Nothobranchius furzeri: one gene and its partners. The protein of the gene in region 2 purifies or fractionates together with the protein of the main gene of each other region. This does not show direct contact. Links are inferred from orthologs where the notes say so. Each region holds a gene or a part of one and is shown on either strand. Other genes may lie near its edges. The genes, in order: sec23b, sec16a and sec13.

Region 1 (11,210 bases), about 36 Mb from region 2:
GTTATTCTGTGGTCTGGGAAAAGTCTGGTATTTGCACGTTATCCTCCATCATGTGCACCAGAAGTTGTTCCCACATGGAGGATCTCCTGCTGAGGGAAGCATCCGTTCTTCCACTTTACGTCCCACGATGATCGAGCCGTGTCATTGGCTGAGGTTTTTAGACAAACGCAAGAGAACCACTTTCATAATTTCTTCTAATCGCCACAATATATTTCTATGTTGGAATGTTGTTAAGAGGCATGAAAAAATGTTTTGGGCTCATTTATTTTCCAAATTTGCCAAAACAGATTTAATCCTAATGTAACTGCTTCAGGGGCGGCGTTAGGCCCGGCTACTTGGGCTGAAGCCCCGGATCTTTCATGGAAAGCCCCGGATCTAAATCGCGGAAGTAACATGCAGTACCAAAGTCCAACAGAGAGGGCGCAGCTGGCAGTAGTTTGTATACAGCCTGCCTGAGCCTCCACCACTGAAGAAGAAGCTCTTCAGTAGCCGGCTTCTTCTACACTCTGCCTGAAACGCATGAGTGAAGATGGACATAAGGACGTTTTTTTAGACCAAAAGTACAACGACAGAACCCCAGCTTTGATGAGACTGGTGTTGACTCAGGTTTGTGAGTCTTATTTGAAAATATTTGTTGTGCTGTTGGTTTGCCTAAAGTTAGCTTACTATCAGGTAAAGTTGTTGGAGAAAGAAAGGGAATATTTACTATCATCTCACACTAAACACTAACAGGAACAATACTCTGCCCTGAATATGCTTAATATGTAGCTTCAGATTTAAAATTATGTGGTACAAGACATATATATATATGATGTTGACTAGTGCGTGTCACGTGTGTGCGCGCATGCGTGTGCGCGTGTGTGTGCGCGCGTGTGTTAAGCCCCGGATCTTCTTCAGTCCTAAATCCGCCCCTAAACTGCTTTGAGGGGCGGAGCTTAAACGGTACTAGAAACCACCTACAGGGGGTGAATGCTTTGTTTTTGCTCCAGAACAACCGCCAGTCCTCCACTCCACCAATGACGCTCTACACGCATGACACAAGGAACCCACAGACTAACGCCCAAACCCAGTATAGAAGCGTTACTGGATTCTGTGGGAAGAAGCAGGTTCACCCAGAGATCCTCACAACTAAAGCGTGTTGAAAAAAGCTCTTAGATCTGCAATCCAAAACAGAGATTTTCTTACTATGAGGCAGCTGTCTCAACTACAACATGAGCATATCCCACTGTAACGCCTGTGTTTACCTGATAGGGCAGTAATGACTAGCCTGAGAGGGGGCCTGCCACTCTATGGGGGGCTGTTTGTATTCCTCTTGTAATTTCAGCCTCAAATTGCAAAGTCAGGCTGATATTTCACCTTGAGGAATTTGTCCTTTAGCATCTGAGAACTCGGTACGACTCAGCACTTTTTCCCCCGGACTCCAGAAATCATTATCAGCCACGTCTGGGTGTTTAAGCAGCAGCCAAGCTGGCTCTTTGATTTTTCCGCCTCCACTTCGACGTCCATAACTCCCACCGATCTTCCCGGGATGGAGCAGACTCACGGTAAGAGTCACCGTGAGTCTTCGCCTAATGAAAGCGATTCTGTTTAGCTGCAGCATCACCCCAGATATTTCTATAATTTTTATTTATCACAGATTTTTTTTAACATTCATCCTGAGAAGCAGAAAAACAGTGAAAGTTAAATAAGAGAATTCTGCTGTGATCCCCTAAAGACTTGGGCTACAAAATGCTGTTAATTGATAAAGTTTGTTGGTTTTCTGTGTCGTGTGAGCGCCATGGGGGTGCAGAGCGGGGTCACAAACACACACCTACCATTCATGCCGTTATAGATGCTCCGATGATGTGGTGAAAGCTCATCTCCAGCTGGCCTCCTCTGGCCCTCTCTCACAGGGCTGCTGAACTTCCCATGGTCAGGACTCACGCTGTACTGGTGCCGGTGAGTTTCCAGACTGCCCCCCAGGACCTTGCAGCCCTTTTCGTGGTGCTCACCGAGCCCTAAATGTGCATGCCGGAGCTCCGGACTCCCGCAGCCCGTGCTGCTAATACTGCTCCTCTGGTACTTCTGATAGAGCTCCCCGCTGCCCCCTTGGCTCAGGTAGTGCTGCCTTTGGCCCAGGACCAGATCAGAACTGTGGTGCTTGGGGTGCTGTTCCGGACTGCGGTGGCCGATGTTGCGTCCATATTTCTCTGGGCTCAGCCCCCGCATGACCCTGCTGTGGTCAGGAATGGATATGGAGCCACAGCGGGGACGGCACAGCTGGGGCAGTGTGTACGGATACTCCAGGCTTGTGCTTCGGTGGCGTCCAGCCGGGAGCTCAGGACTGGACACGTCCCTGTCTCCTCCACCTCCTCCTCCCATTCCACTGATGCTGCTACACCTAGGTTTGTGCACCAGTTCGGGACTGCCCTTCTCCACGCTGCTACCAATAACAACCCCTCCTGCAGCCAGGTGAGCCTGCTTAGGGTGGGGGTGGTCAGAGCTGTCTGCACTGCCAGCACTGGAGGTGCTGCTCCCGTCCCCCACGTCTCTCATCAGCAGCCCCTGTCCTGGCACCAGCAGCAAACTATTCTGGCTGTCCATTGAGTTGTGACACCCTTCCATCCCTACACCCCCTCCGCCTCCACTCCCCCCTGTGCCTCCTCCACCCTTCTCTTCATCCAGCAGCAGGCAGAGCTCCTTCAGCTCCAGATTCTCCCGCACCACCTCCTCCTGTCGTAGCTCCAGCTCCTTGAGTTTCTGCAGGTACAGGGTCACCTCTTTGCGCATGACGCTGGCGCTGTAACGGCCAAGACGCTGCCACTCCCTGGAGACACGCTTTCCTTTCTGACGGTCGTCATCTAAGAAGCAGCACAAGTCCCGCAGCTCCCGATTGTCCTCTTGCAGCTTCTGATTGATGTCCTGAGAGGGAAAAAAAGAAGAAAGGGGTTAAAACGGGCTATGAGCTGAAATTACTCGAAACAAGAGGTTACTAAAGCATGTTTCATCTCACTCAAATGCTGCATCATGCAATCATGTTGACACAGAATCCCAACCCTCTCAGTTTTTTACACAAAACTGCAGAAATAAGGCAAAGTTAGGCAACAGAAACAAGTTAGCGACATTAAGCATCCCTTTATCAACACCAAAAGAACTCCTTCTTTCCTCCCTGCAACAGTTTAACTCTCCCCTAATTCCTCCCTCTCCCTGTCAAACCCCGCAGCTCTTTTCAGTGTAATTAGGCCGCTCAGAGAGGTGGAGGTGACGAGGTCTCTGAGCGCGGGCGAGTGATCCCAGTGTGCTGCTGAGGCTACCTCAGGCAGGTCTCAGCTTTAACTGTGAACACATGTGGACGTGGTGCCACGTTAATAACAACAGCAGGGGTGACTGAAAAGGAGAAAGCTGCAGCTTCACATCAAATGCTTACTGATTGAATCTAATCTCACATTTATGCCAATGAGCAGCGTAGCGGGGGTGTGGCTACCAGCACATCTTTAGTTTAGAGCTCTTTACAACCGTACAGAGGTTATTTTGATAAACACACCAGAAAGACACAACTTGTTGATTTTGCTCACAGATGGAAACATCTGCTTGTGAATTCATCTCAGAGCCCAAAAAGTTGAAAGCCTTGCAGATTTGATGTTTCTTTTCACCTGGGCCTACGCAGGCACCCAAACTTCTGCAGTGTCTTATCTCACATCCTGCCTGCTCGCTTCATTTCAGAACCTCTTGTGGTGCGCGCGCGCTCAGGTGCACTCCAAACCTATGATCTCATCGTTTACCGACGCGCGCCCCCTCACCTTCAGCCCCCTGATCTCGTTTAGGTGCAGCTGGAGGCTGCGGTTGACCTCTCGGATGAGATTCCCGTGGTCCAGGATCACGCTCATCTTGTCGGCCTCGGACCGCCTCAGCCGGCGCACCAGGTCCTCTTTGGTCCACCTGAGCAGCTCCTCGTCCGCGATGCCGGATATGTCCTCGGCTGGACTTTCGGTCTTCGCTATGGACAGCTGGAGCTGGGGCTGTGGCGGCGGAGTTGCCTTCTCCATTGGCACAGCGCCTCCGGCAGCGAGTAACGGCAGGAAATACTTGGAGGTGCGTTACCGGGCGCTGCTCGCATCCGCTCCCTACCGACTGAAGGGTGGAAAACCGCTATCGCTTGGAAATCAGTGGCATAGTTTGGCCTCTTTGCTGCTCCCCCCACTCTCTCCCAGAGCAACAGCTGACGATGCCGGGGTGAGTGCAACACAGGCAGACCGGAAGATGCTGGACTCTGCTCACTGCATCATCCTCAGAGCACGAGAGGCTGAGTGCTGCCGGGTGCAAGGTGTGGTCCTGGTCCAGACTCTGAATCCAAATCCAAGTGTGGGGTCCTCCAGCAGAAGCACAGCTGGCGCTTAGAGGAGAAGCAGAGAGGAGATTCTTCTGGGCTCAAACAGAAACACACCGAGAGGAAGCAGCACTCCCGCTCTCTCCTCCTCTCTGCCTGCTCTCTCCCTCCAGAGGTTTGCCTCCCAATAAGCAAAGAGCTCTGTCACAGCGCCACCCAACGTTATGTTTCATTCCCACGAATCCATTGTGAATATTGGAATATTTTCTGGGAAATAAAACAATAAAGAAAATGTCATGGACTGCCAAGATGTGTCAGCCTATTCCAACTAGTCTTACTCAGCTGCAAAATAAAATTAATTCTACACTTAATAATATTTGTCTAAATCAAAAGTTGTCCAACTTGCCCACATTTCACAGGCTTGTCTTTGTAGGACACTCTGACGTCAGCACCACGGACAGCGAAAATCAAGTTAAAAATGGAAAATAACTGGGATCAACGTTCACTAATGGCTGTTGGAATTTGACATTTACAACTGAATTTTTCTGAATCCAAACTACTGACACGTGTCCTGATAAAGGCTTTGCAGAGTGTATTTTCTTTTGAAATCTCAAGTTTATTTTTAAATCCAGGCTACGGTTTATGTTGTGAATTTTTACAGTTTTGCTGATTTTAAATTTACATGTTTTGCACATGAAAAGCCCATTTAGACTCCTCTGTGTATAAATACGCTTTATGAAAAAGACATGATTAGCTTGCCTGTATTGGCAAGCAGTCTCTGTCCACTTTCAACACCATAAAGTCCCAAATTATGATAATAATATTATTATTAGTAGTAGCATTTGTATTATTATTATTATTATTATTATTATTATTATTATTATTATTATTATTATCATTAAGAGCCATCAAAGACACCCTGTAACTTTTTGAGACAAGGCCTATTTCTACTTTTATTGCAGGTATTTACAACAAGCCAATTACCACCGTCAGCAAATAAACAAGCAGATAAAAATAAACAAAGATTAAACCAGACTTATTATCAGGCCAACTGTACAAAACTGTTCACAGAGACGATGAAAACCCCTGGCTGAATATTTTATGCTCCCTTGCCGTTTACAACACAATAAACTCTATTTCCCAGAGGTCCGCGCTCACCTAGTTCCGCCTGACGTTCACTGTACGCTTGCGTCACGTGACGCAAGGCGGAGCCAATGGGAAAGTCCTGAACTCGTAGTAACACGTCACTCTAGTAAAGTGAAAAGCCGGCTGACAGGGAGCAGCTCGTTCACCGACGTCTTCCTCCCACTTACGCCCGTCTGGTTTCACCTTCAGATGCACTAATTCATCCTAAACACAACCGTCTCTTTAGCCGCCGTCTCGTGCCGAAGCCAGCTCGCTTTATAAGAAGGTAAGAGCTGGGTTTAGTTCAGGGGAAAGTAGGTCGCCCATTTTTAGCTTCCATTTGAGGACAGGAAGTGGGTTAATGCTACATTCCGTTAGCTAACTCAGCCCGATGCTCGCGCTGGCGTTACCTTGTCGCTAAAGCGAGACTTTGGGTGATTAATTACGATGTTTTAGCGAATATTAAAAAGAGGAATATACTATTTAACGAGAATTGCGACATTTGAGTGACTTGAGACGTGTCCCAACAGCACTGCTGCTTATCGGGGTTGATACGTGGCTCCTAGTTTGTGTTGTTGACCCGAGAGTCATCAGATTTTTGATCTGACTTGTAGCAGGGGCCTTTGTGTTCCCCTTTAAGAAATAAGAGGTTTGTTCATGACGTTAGTAGTGGTCAGCGGTTAGGATTGGTATTAAAGCAGTTTTCATTCTGCAGCAGCATCAATAGCATCGACCAACATCTGTTAACGAATCCAAATGGTCTTTATAAAACCCAGTCAGGAACCCTTTGTAGCGCAGCTTTCTGATGAACTCTGCGTTTATCTGTGTTCTGTAGTGCGACATTTGGGCTTGTGCAGTAACATATTAGGTTAAACTTAACAAGCAGCGTAAATAAGTCGCCAAGGGCTCTGGATATGTTGATTTGTGCTTCAGGGCTTTTATTGTATTTGAAATTGAGATGCTCTTTTCTGATTTTGTTTTCCTTTGACCTGCAGCTGTCACTGTTGAGCCCATATTCAATTTCAAATTCAATTCAAAAATACTTTACTAATCCCAGAGGGAAATTGATTAAAAAATTGATCCTGCCTTAATTGATCAAAAAATTGATTACATTCAGTAGAATGTATTTTTCACTATCAACTCTGAGAGGATGTTGTTTGCTGCTGCTTTAGGACGGTGTGTTCAGGGACAAAATCGACTAAACCAAATTTTTGAGTTTCAGAGTGTCAGGCAAAAGGTCATTTTCCTTTAGCTGCCGACTTTATGAGGTTTACAGTAACATTTTAATGAACTCTGTGTTATAATATATGCATAACCTGGTGTAAATGCAATGTTTTTATTAGATTTTTTAGGTTTTGACAGAAATATGTGGAGTTTAAGATCAAACCATCTGTTTTTAGGAAGAATTTGGCTCGTCTAACGTGGAACTTCAGTGGTATTGGAAATCAGAGATGACTATCAGCTGATTTTCTTCCTGCTGTCATTTTCCCATTCTATTTAAAACATTCCATTCTATAAATAGTTTTTCTCACCTCAGTTTTGTTTATTCATCTTTTTTTAAAGGGGGAGAAAAGGTCCGTGTCCCCCGTCAGAAGTGAGATTAAACTGTTTGTGCAGTTGCCTGGCGATGCTTTGCAAAAGGCGTCACTTAGGTGTAATGAGCACATACCGGCACAAGCATAGCCCGATTAAATACACCCGGCACACCCACTCATTTGTTTTAGGAATTCTCTACATCGTTCTTCCTCCTCACCAAAACCAGCCGAGCGGGTTTCCTGGCGGCGTGTTTGTGCGTCAGGCTTTCGGACATCCGCGTATTTCGTTCCCACTGAAGTGAACGGCTCACATGTATAAAGAGAGGATGTTCGCTTTAGTTGGAGAGAGAGAGAGTAGAGAGCCTGAAGAGGGACGCAGCACCGTAGCAGTTATCTGGGACACAGAAACTCCAAACTGGACTGTGGTTTTATTTATTTATTTATTTATTATTTAACCTTTTCTCTGCTGAAGATCGGTGATGTCGACGTACCAGGAGTTCATCCAACAAAACGAGGACCGAGATGGGGTGAGGTTCAGCTGGAACCTTTGGCCCTCCAGCCGCCTGGAGGCCACTAGGCTGGTGGTTCCCGTCTCCTGTCTCTTCACGCCTCTTAAGGAGAGGCCCAACCTGCCACCTGTTCAGTATGAGCCGGTTCTGTGCAGCCGGGCCACCTGCAAGGCTGTGCTCAACCCACTGTGGTGAGTTTCTCAGAGTTTTACGTGTCTATTAATAGCATAGATTTACTTTCATATTTAGCTTTTCATGCAGGAATATTGCAGCTTTCCCCCCAAATGATTTTATTTATAGTTAACGTTAAATGGACAACACAAACAAACTATAATGTATGGTTGTATAACTGCCTCAACATCGACACAAATATTCATCATTGCCATAATACACACACATACTGTAAATGTCTGTTTAGGAACTATTTTTAGTCTTTGTTGTGGTCCTCCTGTAAGTTCAGGTGACATCTATAATAAACAGGTTCTGGAGACGGAGTCTTTTGTAGGCGAAGTGCAGAAAACGGCTGTCGGGTCCAACTTTCCTCCAAAATAATGCAACACGTCTTTTGGCACCAAGTGCTTGTTTTAAACTCCTTAAAAAGATGATCTTTATATCTTTCAGTTCTTCTAAAACTGGTGATGCCGAGACTTTAGCTCTTTTGAATACTGAAGTTTAGGTACTGGGTGTGGATTATGAGGACGCACCTTTTCCACATCGCAGCAGACGATGAAACGTCTCTCTTTCTGTTTCCAGTCAGGTGGACTTCAGGGCTAAAATCTGGGCGTGCAACTTCTGCTTCCAGAGAAACCCTGTGAGTGTTTTCTGTGTGAAACGCCACCTTTATCAGTGCTGATGCGGAGGATCTGCTTTCCTTTATTAGGCTGGTTAAATCGGCTCCGTTTGTCTGTGTTTGTGCAGTTCCCGCCCTCTTATGCAGGCATATCGGAGGTGAACCAGCCAGCTGAACTCATGCCACAGTTTTCCACCATCGAGTACATAGTTCAGGTAAAGGCTTGTGCGTGTCTGCACTCTGACCTCACCCAAGCACATCATGTACTACAGTCGCAAACACAAAGAAGAAAAGTCCTGATTAGATTATTTCTTTACTCTGAAACTTCAGAATTCTGAAATAAAGTTTCACATCAAGGAAATGTTGGGTTGTTGTTCCTCAGCGCGGACCCCCGACCCCTCTGATCTTTATGTACGTCGTGGACACGTGCTTGGAAGAGGAGGATCTCCAGGCCCTCAAGGAGTCCCTCCAGATGTCGCTGAGCCTTCTGCCCCCCAACGCCCTGGTGGGCCTCATCACGTTTGGACGCATGGTTCAACTTCACGAGCTCAGCTCTGAGGGGATCGCCAAGAGCTACGTGTTCAGGGGCAACAAGGACCTCTCCTCCAAACACGTCCAGGTCGGTTCAGAGCACCAGAGCAGGAGGGAGGGCTGGAGCCGAGCAAAGCTATAAAAATCTGGGGGGTATTTTTCATTTCAGGAGTTGCTGGGACTGACAAAACCGGCTGCTGCAGCACAGCAGGGTCGCCCTGCGGCTCCTCAAGAGGCCGCTGCCTTTTGCAAGTATGGAAAAGCAAAAGTGCTCATTAATCCGGAGCGGATGCTTTGCAGCATTTTCTACGAGTTCTGTTTGATCCTCTCCAGGTTCCTGCAGCCCGTGCATCGAGTCGATATGAATCTGACGGACTTGCTGGGAGAGCTTCAGAGAGACCCCTGGCCCGTCCCTCAAGGGAAGCGCCCCCTCCGCAGCACGGGGGTGGCGCTGTCGGTCGCCGTCAGCCTGCTGGAGGTACAGCAAACACTAAAGCTAATGCTGACTTAGCCGTCTGCTGCCTTTAACTACTTCTTCACTTGAACTTTAGCCTTCTCATGATGCCACATGTTCAGAAAGTTACTCACTGCCTGATAATCACCTCCTGCTGCAGCAGTAGGTTTGCGCCGATGGTCCAAAGGCCACTTCCTGTTTGGTCTGTCCCCTCCACCACAGGTCTCCCCTCTCCCCTGCTCCTGATAATCTGGGTGGTTATGTAACTGCTAGTGTGAGGGATCACTGCCCTGCTTAGCCCCTGGGAGGTGTGCCCAGATTTCTGCTCCGTCACCGACTCCAGACCCGACGACTCGACAAACGAGTCTCACAAACAGCAGCTCTGAAGCTTCCAGCGTTAGCTAGTGTGTTTGTTCTGCTTCTGAGAAAAGTGAATGGCTCTTTAGGTAGGAGGGTCAAATTATTATTATTATCATAATTAAATCATCATCATCATTGTTATTATTATTATTTATTTTTATTTTTATTATTATCATTATTATCATCATCATCATTGTTATTATTATTATTTATATTTATTATTATCATTGTTGTTATTTATTATTATCATTGTTATAATTATTTAATTTTATTATTTATTTATTATTATTATTACTATTGTCATCGTCATCATCATCAATGTTATTATTTATTATTATTATCATTATTAATCTTATTTATTATTATTATCATTATTATTATTATTATTATCATCATCATCATTGCTATTATTATAATTTATTATTATTATTATTATCATCATCATTGTTATTATTATTATTATTATCATCATCATCATTGCTATTATTATAATTTATTATTCATCATCATTGTTATTATTATTATTATTATTATTATTATTATCATCATCATCATTGCTATTATTATTATTATTATTATCATCATCATCATTGCTATTATTATAATTTATTATTATTATTATCATCATCATTGTTATTATTATTTATTATTATCATCATCATCATTGCTATTATTTATTATTATTATCATTATTATTCTTATTTATTATTATCATTGTTATTATTATTATCATCATCCTTGTTATTTATTATTATCATTATTATTATTCTTATTTATTATTATCATTGTTATTATTATTATAATCATCATCATTGCTATTATTTTTTATAATAATAATAATAATTATTATTATTGAAAGCTTCCCATAGAGGTGTGTATGACCCCACGGCTCATTTCCAGGCGTTTCATCGTGTTGAGGACCTCCCCAGACTCTTGTGCTTTGGAGTTTAGCTGTTTGTCCGGCTCCTTGTTTAGATGACGCTGAGGTTCGGACGTTTGGTGAACGAGTTATTTTCTGAAGATCATAAATGCTTCTTTTTTTCACTAAACTTTCTGGTTTTAAATCAACTTCATGGGAACTGAGTTTTGATTCAACACGTTGGAAATAAAAGTAACGTTTAGCTCAAACGGGAGATCTTTAGGGGACAACCTAAAATCCGTTTTCTTGCTCTTTAGGGGACGTTCCCCAACACGGGAGCCCGTTTGATGCTCTTCGTCGGCGGCCCGCCCACTCACGGGCCCGGCATGGTGGTGGGAGACGAGCTGAAAACCCCCATCCGCTCTTGGCACGACATCCAGAAGGACAACGCGAGGCATCTGAAGAAAGCCACGAAGGTTTTTAAATCTAAAACCCGTTTTGTTAAAACTGTATTCGTAATCATTTCTCAGGATTTTCTGACGGGTTGATGCTTTTCTACGTTTTAGTTTTATGAAGGCTTGGCCAACCGGTCTGCCGGGAACGGCCACTGCATCGACATCTACGCCTGCGCTCTGGACCAGACGGGGCTGCTGGAGATGAAGTGCTTGTCTAATCTCACCGGGTACGTGCGCTCCGTGGGGGGGTTAAGGCGTGGGCGCTGGTTTTGGGGTAAACGCGACT
Region 2 (10,480 bases):
GCCTGCCTCAGCCAATCGGCATGCATAGATTAACTTGAACACCTGATGGGAGACGATGCAGAACATTAGAAATATACCAACAGCTGACCCAAGTGTGATCATGTAAACGTGAAAATAGATATAGACAGATGTTATAGCATATAATAAAGCACTTTGTAATGCAGTTTTTAAAACTAATCAGGAAAACCAACCTGGAAGTTGGGCAGTGAACATGGCTGGGAGCCCAGAGACTGAGCATACTCGTAGGCTTCAGTCCTCTGGATTGCTTCATTAGTGGAAAATTTAATAAAGGGCAAACTAAAGTGAAGAGATAAAGAAAAAGTTATGTTTCTCAGTATAATTTATAGAAATATTACAAGACTAATCATGTGTGTGTGTGTGTGTGTGTGTGTGGTGTTCTAACCTGTGGTTTGAGCCAATCAAAACGAGCTTGGTGCTCTTTTTGGTGAAAACTCCTAAGCCAACTTGAGCCATGAGGTAGCAGAAGTGTGCAGCATCTGTCAGCCCCTTAGAAGCTGCACAAAGTAAAAAATAAATAAATAAAAAGATGATCTCGTGAATCAGGTCGGTTATAATCAGAGGATGAGGTAAGTGGATGAACAACCCTACCAAGAGTGTCGCCCATAGTGGTGATTGTGCGAGAGTCCAGGTCCATATTGTGGGTGAGGTTAGACAGTATCATGGCCAAATGAGGGCGCCAGTCACCCCACTTCTCTTCTCCACAACACTACATGCACACAAAGTGTATCAATATAAAAATCTGCACACTAGCCTTATATCCTTCTTATATACACACACAAACAAGGTACAAGTAAAACCTACAGTGGCCGATGCGGGCATCCTTCCGGACATCAGCTGGTACATCGTCTGGAGAGGGTCATTCATAGGCAAACTATTGGCAAACCTAAACAAACACACAAAAATACATTTAGAATAAAAAGAACATTACTTTTAAAGTAAAAAATGATTCCAGATCAGGCATTTTACCTCGTCATGACCCGTGCATGTGTCCTGTTGTCCATCTTACTGGCCAAAAGTAAGGCGTGACCCCAGAGCCCTCCCTTCATGGCTGCTTCCAGCGCATCCTTTCCCATAAACCAAACAGGTTAAAACGCTCCATGTGTCAAAAGTTACAAATAAATCACAGACAGACTTTAACATTTCTTACTTTTTTGCGGCCAAACAGTAGCAGTTCCCTGAAGCGCTCCGTTTCCTTGCCAACATTCTCGGGGACAGTCATGAAGGTGTCCGACAGAAGGGACAGGGGTCCAGCTCCAGGCTCCTCTTCAGCTCGAGCGATGGGCTCGTTATTAAAATCAATCAAGTTGGCTTCATTGGGACTCTTCCCTGGCAGCCACACGGATCGGTGCTCCTTCAGCAAGAGGTCAGCGATGTCTGTGCCAACGACAGTCTAAGGGAATGAAAAAACAGTTTTAGAACATTTAAAAAAAATAACATCTCAACTTTGCTTCTTATCTAATAAATTTGTAGCTACATCTGCATAAACCTACCCCGTTCTGTCTACAGAGCAGCACGATGAAGTCCCAGAGCAGGCGGGCAGAGTCCCTGTCCAACAGGTTGTTATCCCGAGAACACTCCAGTGCTTTGTTCTGGGAGAATTTGATCACATCCACCTTATGGGTATCCTCCCTGATGGCATGATGCACAATGTTAAGATAAAAAGGACTTGCCTAAACCAAAGTCTAGGTCAAGTTAACAGCTGTTGTCATTCTTAAAAATAATCTCAAACAACATGTATGTATTAGCATAAATCTGAAATAAGCGTCATTCATTCATTAAAAACATAATTTATTGTTTCTGTCTTCAGGTATTAACTCAATCCTGAGGTCATTTTACTAAATAACACTGGTAATTACTTCAGATTAATAGGGCTGTAGTGAAGCCTCGATGATGTCGACGGCTCGATTCTAAAAATTTGTCGATGTCAGATCCAGTAGTCGACGCACCGCGCCCACTTGTTGCATCCCCAGGAGTTTGTAAATAGAGGAGGAATCTGCCTGTTTTTCCTCTAGTTCACCCTCTTCTCCGCCTTCACTAACATCTCTGCCAAACACCGAAGACCCGGAACAATGTCCGTCCGCTGCTAGATTCCTCTCCTGTTTTGCCCGCCTTCGTCTCCCGGCAACGGACAACAACTTCTGGGGTCAGATGCACTGCTTCATCTCTACCGCAGATGTAGAAAATCACCGGGAGCTTTTCTCCCTTCATAAAAAGAGCTTCTTTCAGACATTAGGAGAGCTTTTTTGGTGGTAGCAGTCTCCCCTCCGTGCAGGTCTGTTTGCTGCTGGGTACTTTTGGTTTATTTAAACTTGGCAACTTGAACGTAAAGAGCAAGTCACCCCCAAATAAACTTTTTTTTGCTGATAAACTAAATAAACGAGTGTCTAATCGTGCTGCAGACACGTGTAGTCAATAATTTGGCACTTCAGTGCATCTTAGTTAAAATTTAAATATTCTGCCTAAAACTGGCATTGTTGTGCCATTGTCAGGTAAAAACTCTGCACTATATTTGAATTTAAATCTGCCACTGCTATTGGCTAAGAGGTATGCTATGATGTAAACTGGTACATTATGATGTAACAGTGCTGTTGTGAGCCTGTGTGTGTGTGTATTTGTTAGCAGCGCTGCCCTCTCGGTCTGCCAGGCAACAGCATTTATTGCATTTTTCAAACAAGAAGTGGGAGTGGAGTTACTCTGGTAGGGGGTGACTTGCTCTTTAACGTTGGTAAAGCTACTGTTAGCATTTTCGCTAACAGCTTCTTGCGTTTGGATAAGCTGCTACGTTTTGGTTTAGAGTTCATCTTTTTTGTGGTGTAGATCTCCCTTTTATTACATTTAGAGTGTTGTGGGTTTTCGGTTTAGTGTAAAATATCACCTTGAGTTTCGTTTAACCACCCAGTTTAGAGTTTGGACCTTTGGAGATCCTTATTTTGGTCCAGAACCCAGTAATCTTTGCCCAGTGGAACATCCCTACTTATTTGTACTTTTGTTTCAATTCCTCACAGGCAGAATTAGTTTTATTATTCCCAACCTGCGGATGGAAAGATTTATGATTTTTTGTTGTTGTAAATAAACCTGATCATCATTTTAACTTTTAAATCCTGTTATTGTCCCTTCCTTTTTGCACACGAGCCAAACTCCTCAGGAAGGGTCGTAACACCACTCGCCTCACGCACATAAGTGACCAAAACAAAGCAGCATGGAGACACTCCGTCTCCAACCACCTCTCAGGCAGCAGCCTGCACTCCCAAGTTCTCCATGTCACCAGAACATAACCGACCGCAACACAATAAAAGCAGTGTTATGAAAACTGGAAGGCCTGTAGTGTTTATTCTCTTACAGTAACAATTTATCAATTTTTTTGAGGAATTTTTTGGTTTTTATTTTTCTATTGCACAGTTAATAATCATTAGATTGTCTAAATAGTCATTAGAATAGTCAATTATTCACTAAAATAATCGTCAGAATAATCGTTTACCCCCAGCCCTACAGATTAACAAATAAACTTACTTAATAAGGGGTCCAGGGAAGGTCCGCAGTTCAGCCTGATCTGGGGTGTCTTGAAGCATGGTCTAAAGATACAAGAATGAGTAAATGTATTCTTTGTTATCATCCTAACAATTAATAAAGTATCGAATAGTGATGAACACAGTAAAGCAACTTCAGAAGTGTTAAATACAATAATACTTTCATAAAATTACAGTAAAATAAAACCCAAATGTGTTGAAGTGTACCTCCATGTTGTGGATTTCGACCAGAGCGGGCTGTCCAGCTGAGGGGAGATTAGGCAGAACCTGAATCAGATGACCACCAGGGCAAAAGCGGGCACAGCGGTGGGGTACGGTGAACTTTTCTGGGGTTGCAGGACGAGGCGGAGCTAAAGAGAATGCAACAGTCACCGCTTTAGTACACCACACTCATACACGAATAAATGAGAAGAAAAATAATAAGATATTCAATCATATTTAAAGTTGAGGGCTGTTCACGTACGCTGCTCAGGGGCAACCCAGGTATTGTCTACGGAGTACTCTGGAGGATACGTGTACTGGCTGTAGTTCTGAGAAGCATCCACTTGATTCGGGTATTGCCCGTAAGAGTAGTCCACAGGCATTGTTGACTGTGTGGTGTCATAAACCGCAGACACCAAATCAGGCTGGCTCCTATACACCTGGCTCTAAAAAAGACCAAATATAAAAATAACCAAAAAGGGCAAATGACACAACTAATATACAAATATTAATCTGGAAAAAAGTGAGGCAAATTACATTTATTGACATTTATATATAACAAAGATATATTAACTTGTGTAAAAACCCTTTGAGAATGAAACTTCTACAGGCTTTAGACATAAACAGTCCTTCCTTGTTTAATTAGTAACTCTCCTATTAATATCAGAACAGCAACATTTGTAGCAAAAACTATTAAAATTTAGATCTGCTATTGTAAAGACAGAATAAAATGCATGTCTGAGTATCCATTCAACAAATGAAACTGCTGATAAAGCTAATGTATAAATATAAAACTTAAATATTTTAGTTAATATTTATAAAACCCAAATAAGAAGATGAGTCACATGTCCTGATTGTAGGAGAATGGATCTCGATGAAGAGACTAATCCAAGTTTGTTGTAGAGTCAAAGATGTTAAGACAGGCATTAAAGGGGAAACTAGTTTTGGCTTGCTTTTAGCACCCTCTAGTGTCCATTTGTAGAATCAAAAGAAAAATCTGCTCACTGCGTCTGTCTTTTTAACACCTTAATCTAACGTTTAAACCAAACTCTGGTACTGACCAGACCAGCCGATGTAGCTAAGCTAAGTAGCATTGCTAACGCTGAGCACAGAAGATAACATAAGAAGAAGAAGAAAGTATAATTTCTATAGCGCCTCTCAAGATAAAAATCACGAGGTGCTTAAAGCTGAAAGCTGAAGCTCCGTCAGTGGTTTTATCAACAATCTGTCGCAGCTAGTCTGCGTCTCTTCTCAAAATCCATTCGGGGTACAGTTCTGGCTAATCAACCTTAATGGGCGATGGTGGCACAGGAGTTAAAAGCTTGCCCCGTAATCGGAAGGTTGCTTGCTGGTGGTGGTCAGAGGGACCAGTGGCGCCAGTGCTCGGCAGCCTCGCCTCTGTCAGTGCGCCCCAGGCCAGCTGTGGCTACATCGTAGCTCATCCCCACCAGCGTGTGAATGTGTGTGTGAATGGGTGAATGACTGATGCTGTTGTAATGCACCTTGGGGGGTTCCATGATTCTAGAAGGCGTATCAAATACAGACCATTTACCATTCTAACAGCTAAATGTCTCCCCAGCCTTCAATAGTGACTACAGGAGTGATTCATCACTAAAGTAAATAAATCAGATGTGTTCATGACCTAAACGTGCTGGAAACAGACTGCAGCGCCAGGTATGTCGCTCAAGTTTTTCTAAGTCCAACAAACCGGACGGGCAAATGTAAAGCTGCAAATGCAGTTTTCTGGCCACAGGGGGTGACAGGGGCTGGGTGTACTTTCAATAACCCTGTAAAGGTTCATTTTAGCACACACTGGCTCAAAGAAAATTTTAAAATAAAAAAGTATCCTTTAAAAGTGAAGCATTCAACAAGTTAAACAGAACCACAATAACTGGAAAAAAAGATTATATTATTTTGACGGGAAAAGGAGCTCCCTGACAGCAGTACGCTCACTGAAATCTGTCTATGAGTGGCTCCTCAAAGTGGATCTGCGACAAACCTGAACCTGACAAAAAAAAAAAAAAAAAAAGTTAAGCCAAGATGGGAATGACGGACCTGCTGAGATCGAGAGCTGAAGCTGCTCCGTCGGCTGTGGTGACTGTGGGAGCTGTGCACACTGTGTGCCGACCGCTCGCTGTGCACGCTGCGTCGGTCAAAGTCATCACCATACGCATCTCTTCCACGTTGATTATCATCATCAAAACTGGCGTCATATCCAGGATAGTACCGCCACTGGTCATCATACCCATCTTTCCTGCAAGTGAGAAAACATCTGTAAATAAAACACCACTCTGTGGATATAAATCCATGACACACAGCCACAGTTCCTATAATGTTTCCCATCACAGCTAAATTTACAGTAATGCAGCAAACATTTAATGTTCTAGTTCAGGGGTGTTAAAGATGCGGCCCGCGGGCCAGATCCGGCCCGCAAGCGGGTTAAATCCGGCCCGCGAGACGATTGTGTGAACTTTATTTTCATACTTTACAATGTAGAGTGAAAATAAACGTATCTTTGTGAGCAAGTTTTCTCTGTAATGAGTATAAATAAAACAAAGCTGCGCTCAAGGCTCACACAAGAACTTGAATCACATCCTGAAGTTGGCTGCCACTCGGGATGTGACTTCTGATATTGATGTGCTGGTGAAAGCTAAAAGATGTAAAGTAAAATGAGTCAAATATACTTTAAGTGCTGCATGAAACTGATCTTGCCATGTGATCTGTAAGCTCTTTGAATCACTAAGGAATGTTTTTTTATTGATTGATTTTTTATTTATTTTTTTCAAATTTTCAAGTACACTTCAGGTGTTGTACTTGTACTACACTGTCCTCAGGCTCCAGTCTTGTTTTATATTGTTTCAATTAAAACAAAGAAAACAATCTGAAGTTTTTTTTTTATTTACCGGTCCGGCCCACCTGGGACTAGATTTCCCTCAATGTGGCCCGTGAGCTAAAATGAGTTTGACACCCCTGTTCTAGTTGCTGCACCACTTCAGATGTGAAGAACGTTTTGGGTACATACCTGGTGGGATACACAGGTTGATTATAGTAGCTGTTTCTGTAACTCTCATTGTAATATGCATAGTATGACTGATCATAGTATCCTCTGTATCGTGGGTCGTATTGTCCATAGTTGTATCCTTTAATGACAAAATATTGGGAAAAGTAAGAAAATTCATTAGAATGTTATCTTGCTACATTTAAAAGTAAACCATTCAGACTAGCAATACTGCAGCTCTTACCTCCATAATCATAGTGTTTGGGATAACCTCCGTAATAATCACTGTAGGAACTTCGGTTTGCTTGCTGGTAATCATCGGTGTATCCTTGCCTTTAAGGAAAAGCAGGCACAATAAAATTCAAAGAATAAATAATCAAAAGCATGTTTTAAAGCCCCGATTCCAAGCCAGCACAAAGTAATCCCACTAAATAATTTCCCCTCCAGAGAAGTGAAGGTAATAATGAATTGAAATTTAACAACAGTGAACGATTATTATTTTAAAAATGAAAGTGGCGGGTATAAATGGATCATGTGACCTCTGGCTGCGAGCAAATGCTCCCTCTTTAGAGTGCGATTTTTTTCATGTCCTACTCAAGACTCAAAGAAACCTAGCAGCCTTTGTTCAGAAAAAAAAGACGTTTTTTGCTTAAATAAAATACCACAATGGTGGGCACAAAGACGAGGCTTCTTTTTAACACTTTAACCGTGTTTAATCCAGCTGTCACTCAACCAAACAACAAATTCAAAATTAAAAAGAAAAATCAAAATTTACCTTCCAGCAAACATGTGCTGCACTTCTATTAAAAAAAAAATCTGTTTTTGGACTTCTTCTGTGTTGCAAATCAGTACATACATCATGACGTTGCTCAAAGAGTCACATGCACGAATGAATCACCCGTTATTTATTGGACTGATGTTTGGCGATGGGAAAAGTTATACAAATTGCCCAACCCTACTAGGTGCCCGTCTCACAAAAACCATCATTCCAAAAAGGTGCTCTGCTTTTGCACAATCAGCCTTTCCACTCAAAACCATCAAACAGCAAAATCAGCATCCTATCTGTAGGAAACTATCCCGTCATCTGTACACTTTTTCTCAATTTTGCCAACTTGCAAAAACATTTTAACAATAATAATAATAATAATAATGCATAGAACTTATATAGCACTTGTTTAGGACACTCAAAGACGCTTGCATGCACTCTCACATTCACACACTGCTTGTGATGGTAAGCTACGTTGTAGCCACAGCCGCTCTGGGGTCGGTCTGACAGGGCTGCCAATTGGCGCCACCAACACAGGCAAGTAGGGTGAAGTGTCTTGCCCAAGGACACGACAGCAGAATACCCCTGGCAGGAGCTGGAATCGATCCCGTGACCCATGATCATGAGGCAACCCGCTCTACCTCCTGAGCTACTGCTGCCCTAGTAATAATCAACAGGGCCAACGTCAGGCAGCTTATGACTAAATATTATTTTGTTCATTTTTGTTTAATGACTTGTACCAGTGATTTTAATTATAAAGTTATCTAGGGTAATTGTCTTTTTTAGCAAAAGTATCTTATATTAAATATGAAGCAATAACAGCAGTATTAGTTCATTATGTTTTGTTTTTTGTTGCGCAGACTTGCTCGTGGACAGCTGATGGAGATTAGCTTTAGCTAACTCTGGTCCAAAGCATCTTTTCTCTTTTCAGATGAATGTTTATGTACACAGACGCTGGAAAATAATCAATAAACACAATTATTATACATCAATTATTTGTTCAAAATAGCTACATATGTCACTGAATACCAGGGGCAGAAGCTAAAATGTTAACTATTCACAAAACTTAATATAAAACGACTAAAACATTAAATGGGGAATGAATGGCTAAAGTTATCAAAAATGTAGACAATTCAGGCTCATCTTCCAGTATTCTACAGTAAAAAAAAACACAAACAGTTTTTGAGAGGCTGGAAGTAAAATATTCCATAAAGAAATTGAATGGACATCATTATTTTATATTGTTCTGCACATTAAATCATGAAGGGTTGACTGACCTTGATGAGGGTCGATCAGAGTACTGACTCGTCCTCGAGCTGGGTCTGTCTGGTTGTGGCTCTCTGTATTGGTAGTTTGGATCATGGTAGCCTTGGGTCTGCCCCTCATATCTGCCATACCAGGGGTCTGCTCTGCCATGGTATGATAAATCCTAATAAAATAAAGCGTTAAAGAAGAGAACACTTTTTTTTTCTCAAAATAGGATTCAAATGAACAAAACAGAAAGATCCAAACCACCTACGTGATAATATGCCTGTGCTCTTGGATCTCCAGGTGGAGGAGGGTACTGGCTTGGAGGATACGGCGCTCTGCTATCTGGGTATTCTCCATAATTCCCATAATAACCACTCTGTCCTGCCACAGGGAGTGATGGGGGTCCATAAGCATGATGGCTGCCTGCTGAGGAAGGTGGTCGAGGTGGCTCTGCTGAAGATGGGTGGGATGCCCCTGGAGGTGCTGGACCTCTCGGCCCCGGTGGGTATGCGGTTGCAGTGGGAGGAGCGCTATCTGCAGCCAGTCCTTGTGCTGGATTTGATAACTGACCAGTAGGAGGTTGTGCTCCACTCACAGGAACAACTGGGGCATCTTTCTGTCCCTGGGGTGCAGCCTGAGAATCTGATGTCTTAGAAGATTCATTCTGGGACCGCTGTGGGTTTGCTGCAGCTTGGGAGGGTGCGGGTGGTACCTGTGGGGTAAATGAAGAAGCTGTGGTCTGGATAGAGGCATTCCCTCCTCTTGCCACCTGCTGAGCATCTTTGGTGACCTGCAGGTAAAACCCATTACTAGAAGGTAATGACTCATGTAGAGAAGAAGGTCGATCAGATGCTTGGCTTCGAGTCTGTGATTGGTGCATAGAAAAATCAAGCAGCTCATAATTTGATGCCTGATTATGATTAGAGACAGAAGCAATCACAATGGAAGAAGAATGTGAATTAATGTGAATGGCAGCTGGGTTATCTTCACTCAGTGATCTACCTCTTAACAGAGGCGGGTTGACTTGCGGAGGCAGAGACGGGGTTGTGATTTCTGATGTTGGAGCTACAGTTTTGTCTCGAGTCAGATTCAGTGGACCCTGGTTAGCAGTTGAGGAGCTAAAATTTATGGGTCCAGCAGAAAAAAGTGGATTTTGTTTGGAAGGTAGAGAAGGTGATTGAGAGATACTGGCACCCTGTCCCTGTGCAGGTGATCTATCAGGGGGGGTAGCTTCCCTGTGACTACTTTGGGTGGATGATTGAGCGAGGCCACTGGGAGGAATCACACTGTAATTGGATACAGGCGGGGCAATCAAAACAGGCTGATGAAGTGAGCTGGACACGAGGAGAGAGGCGTAGCCCAGGTTGCTCTGAGAGTCGGTTGGCTCTGCATCACTCACCTTTGGTGGGTTCTCTAGATTTTCTAAATGTTGCTGACTGGTTGACTGGATTCTCTGTGGGGGCTGCAGGTCTAGCGGACCATCTTCTGGTGGTTGAATGACATCAGTGCTAGGCTCTCGTAAAGGTGCCAAAACTGTGGGAGCAGCAGGAGCAAGGAGGATGTTAGCACCCAAGCTTGTAGGATCATTCTGAGCCCACAGAGTAGTCGCCGGACTCTCACACGGCCGACTGGCCCCAAAAGCACGAGATGAAGGCCGAGAGTGGGAATGAACTACTGGTTGTGTCAGATGAGGGATTCCACCTCCAGTAGCAGCAG
Region 3 (11,017 bases), on a different chromosome or scaffold from region 2:
CTTTGCTCTTGGCTCGGTTCAACAACTAGTGACTACAACAGCTGTCAAACATTAGGAAGTGTTTCTGTTGGCCACGACCACACAGAGATGCAAACACGCCCAGCAGCATGTTATCAGCTAGAGACCCTACTTCCTGTCTCTAAACGCAGCCATAGCTTTCCGGATCTGAGAATCTTCCCGCGACACATCAAGTTCCTCTCATCATCTTAGGAATGTTTTTATTCATTCATTATGTCGTTTTATCAAATAGACTTCAAACCTTTGAACAACAATCTCTGATTTTCATGTTAGTAAAGAAATGATGAGGCAGCAGAGAGGGCAAGAGGAAGTGAAGCAAATTAATAAACACATCCAAACGTACTTTCATTTTTACCGAGGAGATTCATGCATTTGTTTAAATTTTCGCAGAACATACACTTTAATCTGCTGCAGACTCTTGATGGGGAAATACTGAAAATGACTGGATGAGAAAAGAATGATTCATTTCTGAACATAAATCTTCTGCAGCACCACTGGAAGTTTTTGTTTCCAGAAACAAATCATCCTCAAACATATAGAATAAAAACACCTGCATTTAATCCAATTAAGATAATTACAATTATTCCTGAAGCAAATCCACAAAAACTCTGACTTATGAGGCTGTAAAGGAGAAAAGACGCCCTCGGTCATAAAGATGCACATATGGCATTCCTTTGTTAACTTCCTGCAAATGCACCCCCAGCATCATATTACACTTCCTGTCTGAGATGAACAGAAAAACAACAACAAAGCAGCTAAACTCCCACCAAACCTCTCACCGTGTGGCTGGAGATCAAACAGCTTTAACTGCTGCAAATAAAAATATCAAACATAAAAATACTGACTGGGAATGTCTGTGCCAGCTCACCAATGATTCATTATTAGATGAATAACAAACAGAACAACAGCATAACATTTAATCATTAACAATTTAATTTAATCAAGAAAAATGCTTTCCTGCTTAGTTAAGTTCAGTGTGAAGCTGATTAAAGCAGGTTTTTGCTTTACACTTAGAAACGTGACAATAAATCACTTTTAAAGTTTAACCTGGCAGCCAAGTGTTTTCTCCTCTGATTTACGTCACTCACAGATTGAAGGCTTCAGCTGGATCTAATGTGCAGAAATACTAAATAAAATGTAAAATTAGGACACTGCTTTGTATGATTCAGGCCAGCGTTGTTTTCCACTGGTGGAGGCAGAATGTTTACAGAGCACCACAGAGAGGAAAAGCAGGTGTGTGTGTGTGTGTGAGAGACCATTTGGACCAGTAATAATAAGGAAGTGAATACTTTCAAATGTGTAGAACAAAAGCAGAAACACAGGACTGGACTTTACAAAATCTAATACTAATTATGTTTCTAAACAGCAAAATGAGCATAAAGTTTATTTTTCATGTGGGATTAAGCAGACGTCCAACTCAGACTACAGATTACAGACTGAGCTCCATCACTCTGGACAACATGCTCTCATCAGTCCAAATGTCTAGCATGTTTGTTATTATTAAGGCTGTGGTCATTGTTTTAGGGTCAAGGGTCACTGACAGGTGGGTGCATCCGTCCAGGTCACTGCTCATTCTGCTGTGTGTCTGCGATGGTGGAGACGGCGCTCTGGCCTTTGCTGACATCACTAATACACGCCCACTGACCGTCCATCGATTCCTTCCACAGCGTCACCTACAGGTAAGGCGATAAAATAAAAAAAAACTTCAAATAATTAACAAAACACACCTGGAAGTTTTAATTTACTAATTTTAGAAGGTCAAACATGGAAGGTTGTGATAGGTTGCACCTTGTTGTCTCCACCAGAAACAGCCAGTATATTTCCAGTGATGGACCAGCTGACGTGCCAGACCACGTCGTTAAACTTGTGCAGCAGTTTGGCCGTCCATGTGTTACCTGCGGGGTCGTCGCACGTCCATATAAACACACGCCCGTCCTGAAAGAGATGCAGAGACAAATAGTTTAGTTTTCTAAGAGAAACTTTAATTCGTACTAAAACCTAATCTGACATTTTATAAAGCAGAGACAAGCTTCTAAACAAACGTTTAACTTAAAGGTGGCATATGGAACAGTTTAAATAAAAAGCTATATTTACAAAAACAATACCGCCACAGGTCGTTGAGAGGTGTGCAGAATGAATGTAGTTTCTCCTTTAAAAGCTATATTTAAAAAAAATATGTATCACATTTTTATTCTGTCGGGCACAACGCCGGGTTTATGTTTACATCTACCAGCCACTGGGCACCATTAAGCTAAAGCACCCGCTGAGCAAGGCGAGGCTGGGACTGTGTAAAATGGCTGACTTGACAAGTCAAGCAGCTGATTCTGAGTCCAGAAGATGTTCTAATGATGAATAATAAACTCATTAGTAGAAATTAGTCTATATTCTGTACGATTTGTCTCTAAACACGGTGCTGGAACATGTCAGCAGTGAACCAACATCCCAACGGCTGGAAAATTAGTCCTGTTGTTGCAATACCACCAGAGTGTCCCTATTCCATATTTAACATTTAATTTCTCTAAATATTTTCTGAAACATGTCATCTATGGCTCCACCTGGTGATGAGGTGAAAAATTCAACATGAGATTTCTTTAGAAATACAACCTGCCCCCCCTCTCTTCCTTTTGTATCTTTCTTTCTCTTTCACCTCTGACTCCGTGTCTGGTCGGAATTACAAAGCATTCAAAAACAATAACAATAAAGTTTTAAGTACCAGGTGTGACATTAAAAGCAGACGCTTTGATGCTCCACCTGAGAGTAAATCTGTAAGGCTTGTCACCAGCATTCAGACATCAATTCTGTTTGCTTCACAGCCAGACAGGACACGGGGGGGAAAAAAAAGAAAAAAAAAGAAATCGGACCTGGGAGCAGCTGGCGATGGTGCTGGTGGGAAGACCAATAGAAGGAGCCCAGCCGACGTCTCTGACCCAATCACTGTGCGCCTCCAACTTCTGGTCCTCTTTCCACTGACCGTCTTCCTCTCTGCAGGCAGAACATTATTCAGGCCACAGAATATTAGCTACATCTGACGTTCACTGTTGAAAGTGTTCTTTTTTTTATCCATACAGGATGACAGATTTTCAACAGCAACTTACTTCCAGAGTTTCACCAGGTTGTCACATCCGCCAGAGACGAAGCGTTTGACGTAGTTTGGTTTCTGACCTGATGGCTGATTGATCAGGCTGCCTGGAACTACAGCAGGAGCCCAGCTCACTGCATTACAGCCAATCTGAAGCAAAAAATAAAGCTTTTAATTATTCTAAAGATACACTTCACGCCCCAAAAGACACAGAAACACTAAATTAGAAAAGGTGAGACAGAATAAAGTTTAAAAGATTGGTGACAACTTAGGAAAACCATTTCATTTTTAACTCACGGTGTGTGCGTTGCTGATCTTCTTGACGTCCCACTGCTGATCACCAGTAAATGTGAGGAGGGAAATTGCTCCATCTGAACTGCCACAGGCTAGGATTAGACCAAATTCATACGGACCCCAGCAGACTGAATTCACTGCAAACACAGAGACAGAGTTAAGGACGAGATCAAGTTGTGTGGAAAACTATTCAGTCAAACTGATCTCTCAGCCCCAATATATGAACATGAATTTCTTTGTAATTTCTTAAAAAGGAAGGATCAATTAGAAAGGGAAAAAGAAATGTACTCAAACAAAAGAGAATGTTGTAGAAACAGAACTTAATCTGAATATTTCATTTTTCTAAAGGTGTTGGCAAAAAAAAAGAGAACATATCTGAAACAAGACGTGTACTTTGGTGCATTACACTGACCTGTCGGGCAGAAGAAGAAATAAAATTACAACATTAAGATCAAAACATTTGTTATCTGTAAGAAAAACGGAACTTCTTCCAGCATTACTAGCACCTGAACTTCTTTCAAGAAGGCCACATGGATTAGCAGAATGAGGAGGAGGAGCACATTTAAACCACTAGAGGGATATTCAATTCCGGTCCTGGAGGGCCGGTATCCAGCACATTTTAGTAGTTTCTCTGCTCTAACACACCTGATTCAATGGTTGAATCACCTGTGCAGCAGCTCATCTGGCTCTGCAGAAGCCTGTTAATCACCTGCTGATTGAAATCAGGTGTGTTGAAACAGTTAAAACTAAAACATAATGGATACTGGCCCTCCAGGCTTGGAAATGAACACCCCGGCACTAGAATAATGGAGAACTCTACCTGATGACTCGTGTCCAGTGTACTCATACATCTTGTCCCAGGTGCCGTTCTCCTCCTTCCAGATGACGACTTTGCGGTCGTATGAACAGGATGCTAGAATGTTGCCGAACATTGGATGAGCCCACGCCACCTGCCACACAGGGCCCTCGTGGCTACATGATGCAGGACACACACACACACAAATAAATAAATAAAAATACATTACAGAACAGGTGAAGATTAAATCTTTAGGAAATAAATGGAAGTGTATTGACATTCACTTGACAACTCTACTTACGTAAATTTCTGTGCATATTCCAAAGCTTAGATCTCTTACCCTCTGAGGTCTGCCACCAGGATCTGTCCACCATTGCGGACGTCAAAGATCTTAACGGTGCGGTCAGAAGAACACGTGGCGAGTCGAGTCCCGTAATAGTCCATTTGGGCATCATGCTGAAACAGACAACAAAGCAACACCAGGAATGTTGGTGGGGATTTCTATGGGGCAGCAAAAGCACCAAACAATGGAAGCATGACACCTGGTTTATTCATAAATGAACTGATGGTGCTAAACTGAAACCCATTCCTTAAATCTTTCACCATCACATAACAAATGTGCGGCATAAACTGCATCATTTGAATGTTTGTTTTGGTTTTGATTTCCTTAAATTGAAACATTGAGAACATGATTAATCTTATCTTTTTAGGGAGAATGTGAATACGTGAATGATTTCGGCTAGATTTTCCCTACAACTAAAACGAAAATGCAAAACACGCCGATTAAGTGAAGTTTAAAGACTATTTAACAAATTTTCACAGTCAACACTACAGAATAATCCACATAGCACTGTTTCTGTAATTATTACACTATAGCATCTGGTACAGTTAAGACAAACATTTTGACTGAACGATCTAAAAGCACTAAACTAATTAAAACAATGTGCTACTCCTTTCTCAAAACACACATCCCAACAGTATTACATATTTAAATTAAAAACTGCTGCTTTACACAGAACACTTACACTTGTGGTACTGAATGAAGATAAAAGCTACAGCCGCTAACTGTTAGCTTTTAGCATCAGAGATAAAAATAAAACTGGATAAAACATAAACACTTACGATCATATCCTCGTGTGAAGTGTCCACCGTGTTTATAACGGAAACCTGCAATTGACAAACAAATAAGAACAAAATCAAGCAAATATAAAACTATATCCAGACAGATTAGCCTCCTGCCGTTAGCGATCGTGCTAATGGATTGACAGCTACCAAGACTAGCCAGCAAAATGTAAACATAAAATCAACATCCTAGAATATTTTGAGCTGAAACTAAAACAAAAAGTGACGAAATTCACCATGGCTGTGGCTAAACCGTGTAAACAAGAAGCCCCTGTTCTCTATCGACTAACTTCACAAGGTTCACAATTCCGACGTGGCAACAAGTACAGAAGCCGTTTCCTCCACCGAGTCCCACCTCACTTCCTACCGGGTAAAACAAAACGCCAAATGATAGTTCTGCGTGAATTAAAAAAGAAGAATAATAAAAACTTTAAAAACGCTTCATTTAACAAACAAACAAACAAAAAATAATCAAACAATAAAAAGGAAACAGTTTATTTGAGCTAAAAGCTAAAATTATTGATGGAAACTTAAATGTACAAAGACCCTCTATACATAGAATAGAATAGAATAGAATACCTTTATTGTCACCATACAGGTGTAAAGTGAGATACAGAGCATCTCCTACTCAGTGTAAAACAAACATACTTGGGACACACACACACACACACACACACACACACACACACACACACACACACACACACACACACACACACACACACACACACACACACACACACACACACACACACACACGCACACACACACAGTACATTTACACCTGTCTGTAATCATATTATAATTACTAATAAAATAGTAACATGAATTCACGTAAACAAATAGAAAAAGACAGAAAACAGAACACATCGATACATTACATTCCCTTTATCATTTCAATACAACATTAAAACAAAAAAAAAACATTATTTTAAGAGGAACAAGTGCTTCTTTTTCAGGTCTCCTAAATATCAACTGGTAATAATAGTCAATTTTTGAAGATGTCTCTCAGATTGTGATTTTTGGACAGCAAATTATCACGTCGTTACCCCAGATGACCACAAGGTGACGCCATAAACCCACAATAGTCTGACCTGACAGCTGTTTTTATCCTAACCCACCAAGGACCAGGTTCGGCCTTTTACTGAGGTCCTTGCTGCTGCAGATGAGGGCTCAAGCAATTCTGTATGACCCTCGCTACATAGCTGCAATAAACACGTTCGTCTTCCTTAGCGAGGCGCTGATGGGTGTGGATATGAGGCACCAGACCACGGTAACACACACACACACACACACACACACACACACACACACACACACACACACACACACACACACACACACACACACACACACACACACACACACACACACACACACACACACACACACACACACACACACACACACACACACAAATTATTCCATATAAATATGAAATATCAACCTGACTGATCTTTGAATGTTTAATCAGAAGAATATAGTTACTTTTACTTGTTCAGGGACCATAAACACACTTTGTATTACTGTAATTCAGACAGAGTCAGGTATATAGTTTATGAAATTAATTTAATTCTTTTACAAAATTAATATTTATACATGACAAGATATGAATAACGAGATGCGATATTGTGGATGTGAGGTGATGTAATGTGATGTGTGAGGTGGTAGGATGGAAGCTAGATGTTTTATCAAGCCCACTGATAAAACATCTTATAGCCCCAAATTGCAATTTTATATGAAATAAATGGTTTATTGACAAGCAGCACACTTACATATTTATCTAGTTAAAAAAAAGTAAATAAATTCCCACTTGCAGCACTTGGATCCTCCACCAGAGAGTAGAAGATAAACAAGATGTTCTTTTTGGGTTATTTACATGAATCACATTTTTGGTTTATGTTTTTTCTCCTCACAGTAAAACATCATTTTTTTCTTTTCCTTCAGCTGTTTTATTTTCCCATTTCCTTATTTTCCCTTCATCTTTCTTCCTCTTCATCCCTCACCCTTTCCTCTAGGCATCATCTTCTCCCTGACAGACAAGTCCACCTCCTCCACCATGAGGATCGATGCTCTCTCCTTTAACGTCCTCCTCCTCTCACACCCTCCATGAACCTTTTAGCCACACATGCAGGTTCTTCTATGTGGTTCCCTTCAGAACACGTTGAAGCTGAATCTACGTAAAATAAAAGCCTGGCTAGTGTCACGGTCTGCTTCTGCGTCTCCCCTCATGTGTCTCCTTGTGTTCTCCCCCATCTCTAGGTTCTCCTATTGTGTCTCCTAGCGCCCTCATGTTGTCCTTGTCTGCATCTTCCTCACGTGTCTTCTTGTGTTCCTCATTTGTCCCCAGATCTGCAGCCCTCTAGGTTTCCCTCCCCAGGTATCCCCCTCCCAGGTCCAGTGCTCCCGTGGTCCCCCTTAGTCACGCCCCTGTAGTTTTTCTTTCTGTAGTGTTTTCCTTTAGTTTCAGCTGTTCATTTTATTAGTCTCTTTAATGCGTTTTTCCCACAGGTGTTTGTGGTTTTCCTCCCCATTAGAATATTAGTTATGTTTGCTGCTCTTCTTGTCTTTAGGTTTTACTCTTAGGTTATGTTAGTTTCCTCCCTGATTAGTTAATTGCTTTCACTTGGTTTCTCTCCCCACACACCTGCAGCTCATCTCCCTCTCATCCTCCCCAGTGTATAAAACTCTGTCCTTGTCTCATAGTTTTGTCGGTCCATTGTTTGTTTCAGCGTTGTTTTGTCCCCCTCCACTTGGTCTCTAGGTTTGTGCTCTTTAAGTGAGCTTTGGTCTCCAGGATTTTAGCACAATGGTTTTTTGGCTTCCTTGCCCCTTTGGATTTTGAGCTTTGGTCTCCAGGATTTTAGGACATTGGTTTGTTTTTGGCTTCCTGTCCTTTTGGATGTTTTGTTCCCATCCAAATAAAGGGATTTTACTTTACAAATCGCTCCTGCCTCGTGTCGTCTAGTGTTTCTGCATTTTGGGTCCTACTCCTCCTGCACTCATTGTGACAGTTAGAGGCCACTGAAGACCAAACTTCTGATTGGGTGTCATCTGGTTACGTCTCCTGCAGGTTCTGCTTCCTTCTGTCCTTGCGTGTGTGGAGGACAGCTTTTATAAGATAAGGCCCCAGGCAAGTTTTCATCAGGAGTTTAAAACAAATTCCCTTTGACAATTCTTGATTTAATTTGTTTCCAGGAAACTACTTTGCTTCACCTTATTTTAATGTGTGTTGGTTTCATAAACAGGTTTGGCAGAACCTGTGAGTCGAGAAGGAGTCGGGCTCCTTCAGAAAATCAATTAAAGCAAAGAAAAAAAGTTTTATTCTTGCAGACTTTGTTTTGTCTTTTGTTGACTTCATTTTATTTGTTCCTGTTTTCATCCTTCTGTGTATTTGCTTTGGATCAGCTGTTGCTTGAGTCCAGATGTGTTTTATTTGGTCACCTGTTCTCCATAAAACTCTTACTGAAGGTGTTTTCGGGAATGGTGAAGTGGTTCAAAGCAGCAGACATTGACCAGGAAGTGAAGGAAAGAGCCATTTCCTGCATGGGTCACCTGGTGTGTCACCTTGGAGACCACCTGGGATCGGAGCTTCAGGGAGTCCTGGCCATCTTTCTGGAGAGATTAAAGAATGAGGTAACAAGGCTAACTACCGTTTGAACCATCACCCTCATTTCTGCTTCCCCGTTAAAGGTTCAGCACACAGATTACTCAACAAAAGACAAACTAGAGACCTGAAAATAACTTCCCATCCTCTTCAGGTTGACCTGTCCCCCATCCTGCCAGGGGCTCTTTCTCTGTTGGGCTCCTTCCTGAGGAAGAACCAGCCACCTCTGAACCTCGCCATCAGTCTGCCAGCATCAAACTGGCAGCTCTGGAGCCTGTCCTGAATGAGATTTCCCCTCTGGTGGATGAGTGACATGAACGTATCACAGGTACTCGCTCTTAAATCACAGTTTGTTTTGAATGTGGAGTACCTGTGAGTAGTCAAATATCTGCACATGTGACAATGAAAGTGATGCAGCCAGTGTTTCCAGCTCAGCAACTTTGTTTTTATATAGCAAGATTTTAGACCCAATTTTCATTGAAGCAAATAGCAACAAATCTAGCCATTTTTTTGTTTTGATTGGAGAATTATACTGAATGCTATGAAGGCAAGTCTCACCATCATTGCCCTGACTGCAGTACGATCTGCTGGTGGCGGCTTAGCGCTGGCGCAATTTACCTGTAAGCATCTCCTCTGACAGCAGATGGGCTGCAGCACGATACATGCTTCATGTCAGAGTCAAAGCTAAATTCTCCTCATTTTGGCCCATTAGGTTAATGTAGATTTTATCCAAATAAACATGTTTAAAGGAGTTCACTGTTTATGGGACCTTTAGCTGGGCGTACACTGAGCGACTTTTTCACTTTTTTGAGCCGATTTTCACCGTGCGAGAATCCACAAGATCGGGGCGAGCTTTGTGCTGAGCATTGTGTAGTTTACAGGGGGTAACGAGAGACGATTAACTCCAATCAGCAATCCTGAGCTCGCACGGACTTCTGGCGTGTTTGATATTTTTCTCATCCCTCATGGGGTTGGAGTGGCGCTGTGAGCGTCTGTGACCCAAAAAGTACTACAATATGGTGTCAGATGGGGGCCAAAACCCACGACGCATGCGCAATCGTGTCAACAGAGCACGCCAGTGTTTTCTCAATAGAGCTCCAGCAGTTGACGTCACTTCTCCCGGCATGCAACAGTTCAAATTGAAACGGCGCCATATTGGCAGGCAGAAGCCCACAGCTGGACTATGTGTTGTTGTCAGAAAACTCAAATCAAACGGGAAATTTGGTAGATTCCTAATGTGCCCCAGGATGCAGAACAGACACGGACGACATAAGGAATGAGCCATCTACAGGATTCCCCAAGATCCGGAATGCCGCAAACGTTGGATCATTGTAATAAAACGCGCTAGTGACCGGGCTAAAATGAAACTGTGGGATCCCGAGAGTAAAGGTTTTTGCTTATGCAGCGACCACTTCATATCAGGTACTTAAACCAACGTTTCCTCAACTGTGTATGGTATTTATTTTAAATGCTTTTATTACGATTCTTAGTGGGCTTCTTAAACTTATTTTGGCGTGGCTTTTTCTGTCTTATTACTCATAGCAGCAAGTAAACATCACGTAAAACGTTGCCTCGTGATTTCTGCATGCTGCTGTTTACGTGTCTCATGATCACAGCAATTAACCGGCTAAGCTGTATTTAATTTTTAAGCAATGGTTGATCAATTGTCAGATCACACATAAAAAGCACTTTGGATTGCTATTATCTGTCTCACCAAGACAGATCCTGAGACGCTCCTGCCTGACATTATTATTTTATTCATGGAAAAAAATCAAACTAGTGATTTCTCTTGGCGTTCAGTTTGTACATTCAAATAGCACAGCACTCTATTTAAACTACTTACATGTAAATCTATGTTATTTGTCCATCCATTTTCATCCACTTATCCAGAGTCGGGTTGCGGGGGCAGTAGCCTAAGTCAAGAGGCCCAGACTTCCCTCTCCCCAGCCACTTGGGCCAGCTCCTCCGGGGGAATCCCAAGGCGTTCCCTGGCCAGGTCCGGTAAGACGTCTGCTCCGACAGCTTCTGGTGCTTTTCAAAAGTATCCCAGGGGCACGGTAAGGGTCGGAGATGTTTAGTATATTTAATTTCTGACTATATA

Evidence for each region.
Region 1: the proteins of sec16a (region 2) and sec23b purify together in Homo sapiens (affinity purification with mass spectrometry; 3 studies listed by BioGRID and IntAct, with this or other methods). This does not show direct contact. The link is inferred for Nothobranchius furzeri from reciprocal best matches to the Homo sapiens genes SEC16A and SEC23B.
Region 3: the proteins of sec16a (region 2) and sec13 purify together in Homo sapiens (co-immunoprecipitation; 4 studies listed by BioGRID and IntAct, counting the BioPlex papers as one, with this or other methods). This does not show direct contact. The link is inferred for Nothobranchius furzeri from reciprocal best matches to the Homo sapiens genes SEC16A and SEC13.

The regions. Positions count from the first base shown.
Region 1 is NC_091746.1:24,264,660-24,275,869, forward strand, and holds the start of sec23b (protein transport protein Sec23B), read left to right. Parts: upstream 1-5,563; 5' UTR 5,564-5,717; intron 5,718-7,438; 5' UTR 7,439-7,445; coding exon 7,446-7,666; intron 7,667-8,228; coding exon 8,229-8,286; intron 8,287-8,393; coding exon 8,394-8,480; intron 8,481-8,647; coding exon 8,648-8,884; intron 8,885-8,965; coding exon 8,966-9,048; intron 9,049-9,129; coding exon 9,130-9,274; intron 9,275-10,786; coding exon 10,787-10,945; intron 10,946-11,035; coding exon 11,036-11,151; intron 11,152-11,210. Other genes in the region: ccdc85al (coiled-coil domain containing 85A, like), read right to left, coding at 1,815-2,901, 3,780-4,025. UniProt on the Homo sapiens protein: Component of the coat protein complex II (COPII) which promotes the formation of transport vesicles from the endoplasmic reticulum (ER).
Region 2 is NC_091746.1:60,759,597-60,770,076, forward strand, and holds part of sec16a (protein transport protein Sec16A), read right to left. Parts: coding exon 9,033-10,480; intron 8,943-9,032; coding exon 8,791-8,942; intron 7,081-8,790; coding exon 6,992-7,080; intron 6,890-6,991; coding exon 6,772-6,889; intron 6,004-6,771; coding exon 5,805-6,003; intron 4,196-5,804; coding exon 4,012-4,195; intron 3,899-4,011; coding exon 3,756-3,898; intron 3,594-3,755; coding exon 3,532-3,593; intron 1,651-3,531; coding exon 1,512-1,650; intron 1,412-1,511; coding exon 1,169-1,411; intron 1,086-1,168; coding exon 988-1,085; intron 905-987; coding exon 823-904; intron 728-822; coding exon 610-727; intron 516-609; coding exon 404-515; intron 298-403; coding exon 192-297; intron 43-191; coding exon 1-42. UniProt on the Homo sapiens protein: Acts as a molecular scaffold that plays a key role in the organization of the endoplasmic reticulum exit sites (ERES), also known as transitional endoplasmic reticulum (tER).
Region 3 is NC_091743.1:73,555,948-73,566,964, forward strand, and holds sec13 (protein SEC13 homolog), read right to left. Parts: upstream 5,679-11,017; 5' UTR 5,549-5,678; coding exon 5,546-5,548; intron 5,355-5,545; coding exon 5,310-5,354; intron 4,644-5,309; coding exon 4,528-4,643; intron 4,364-4,527; coding exon 4,212-4,363; intron 3,529-4,211; coding exon 3,395-3,528; intron 3,248-3,394; coding exon 3,114-3,247; intron 3,001-3,113; coding exon 2,880-3,000; intron 1,954-2,879; coding exon 1,807-1,953; intron 1,692-1,806; coding exon 1,581-1,691; 3' UTR 929-1,580; downstream 1-928. UniProt on the Homo sapiens protein: Functions as a component of the nuclear pore complex (NPC) and the COPII coat. At the endoplasmic reticulum, SEC13 is involved in the biogenesis of COPII-coated vesicles.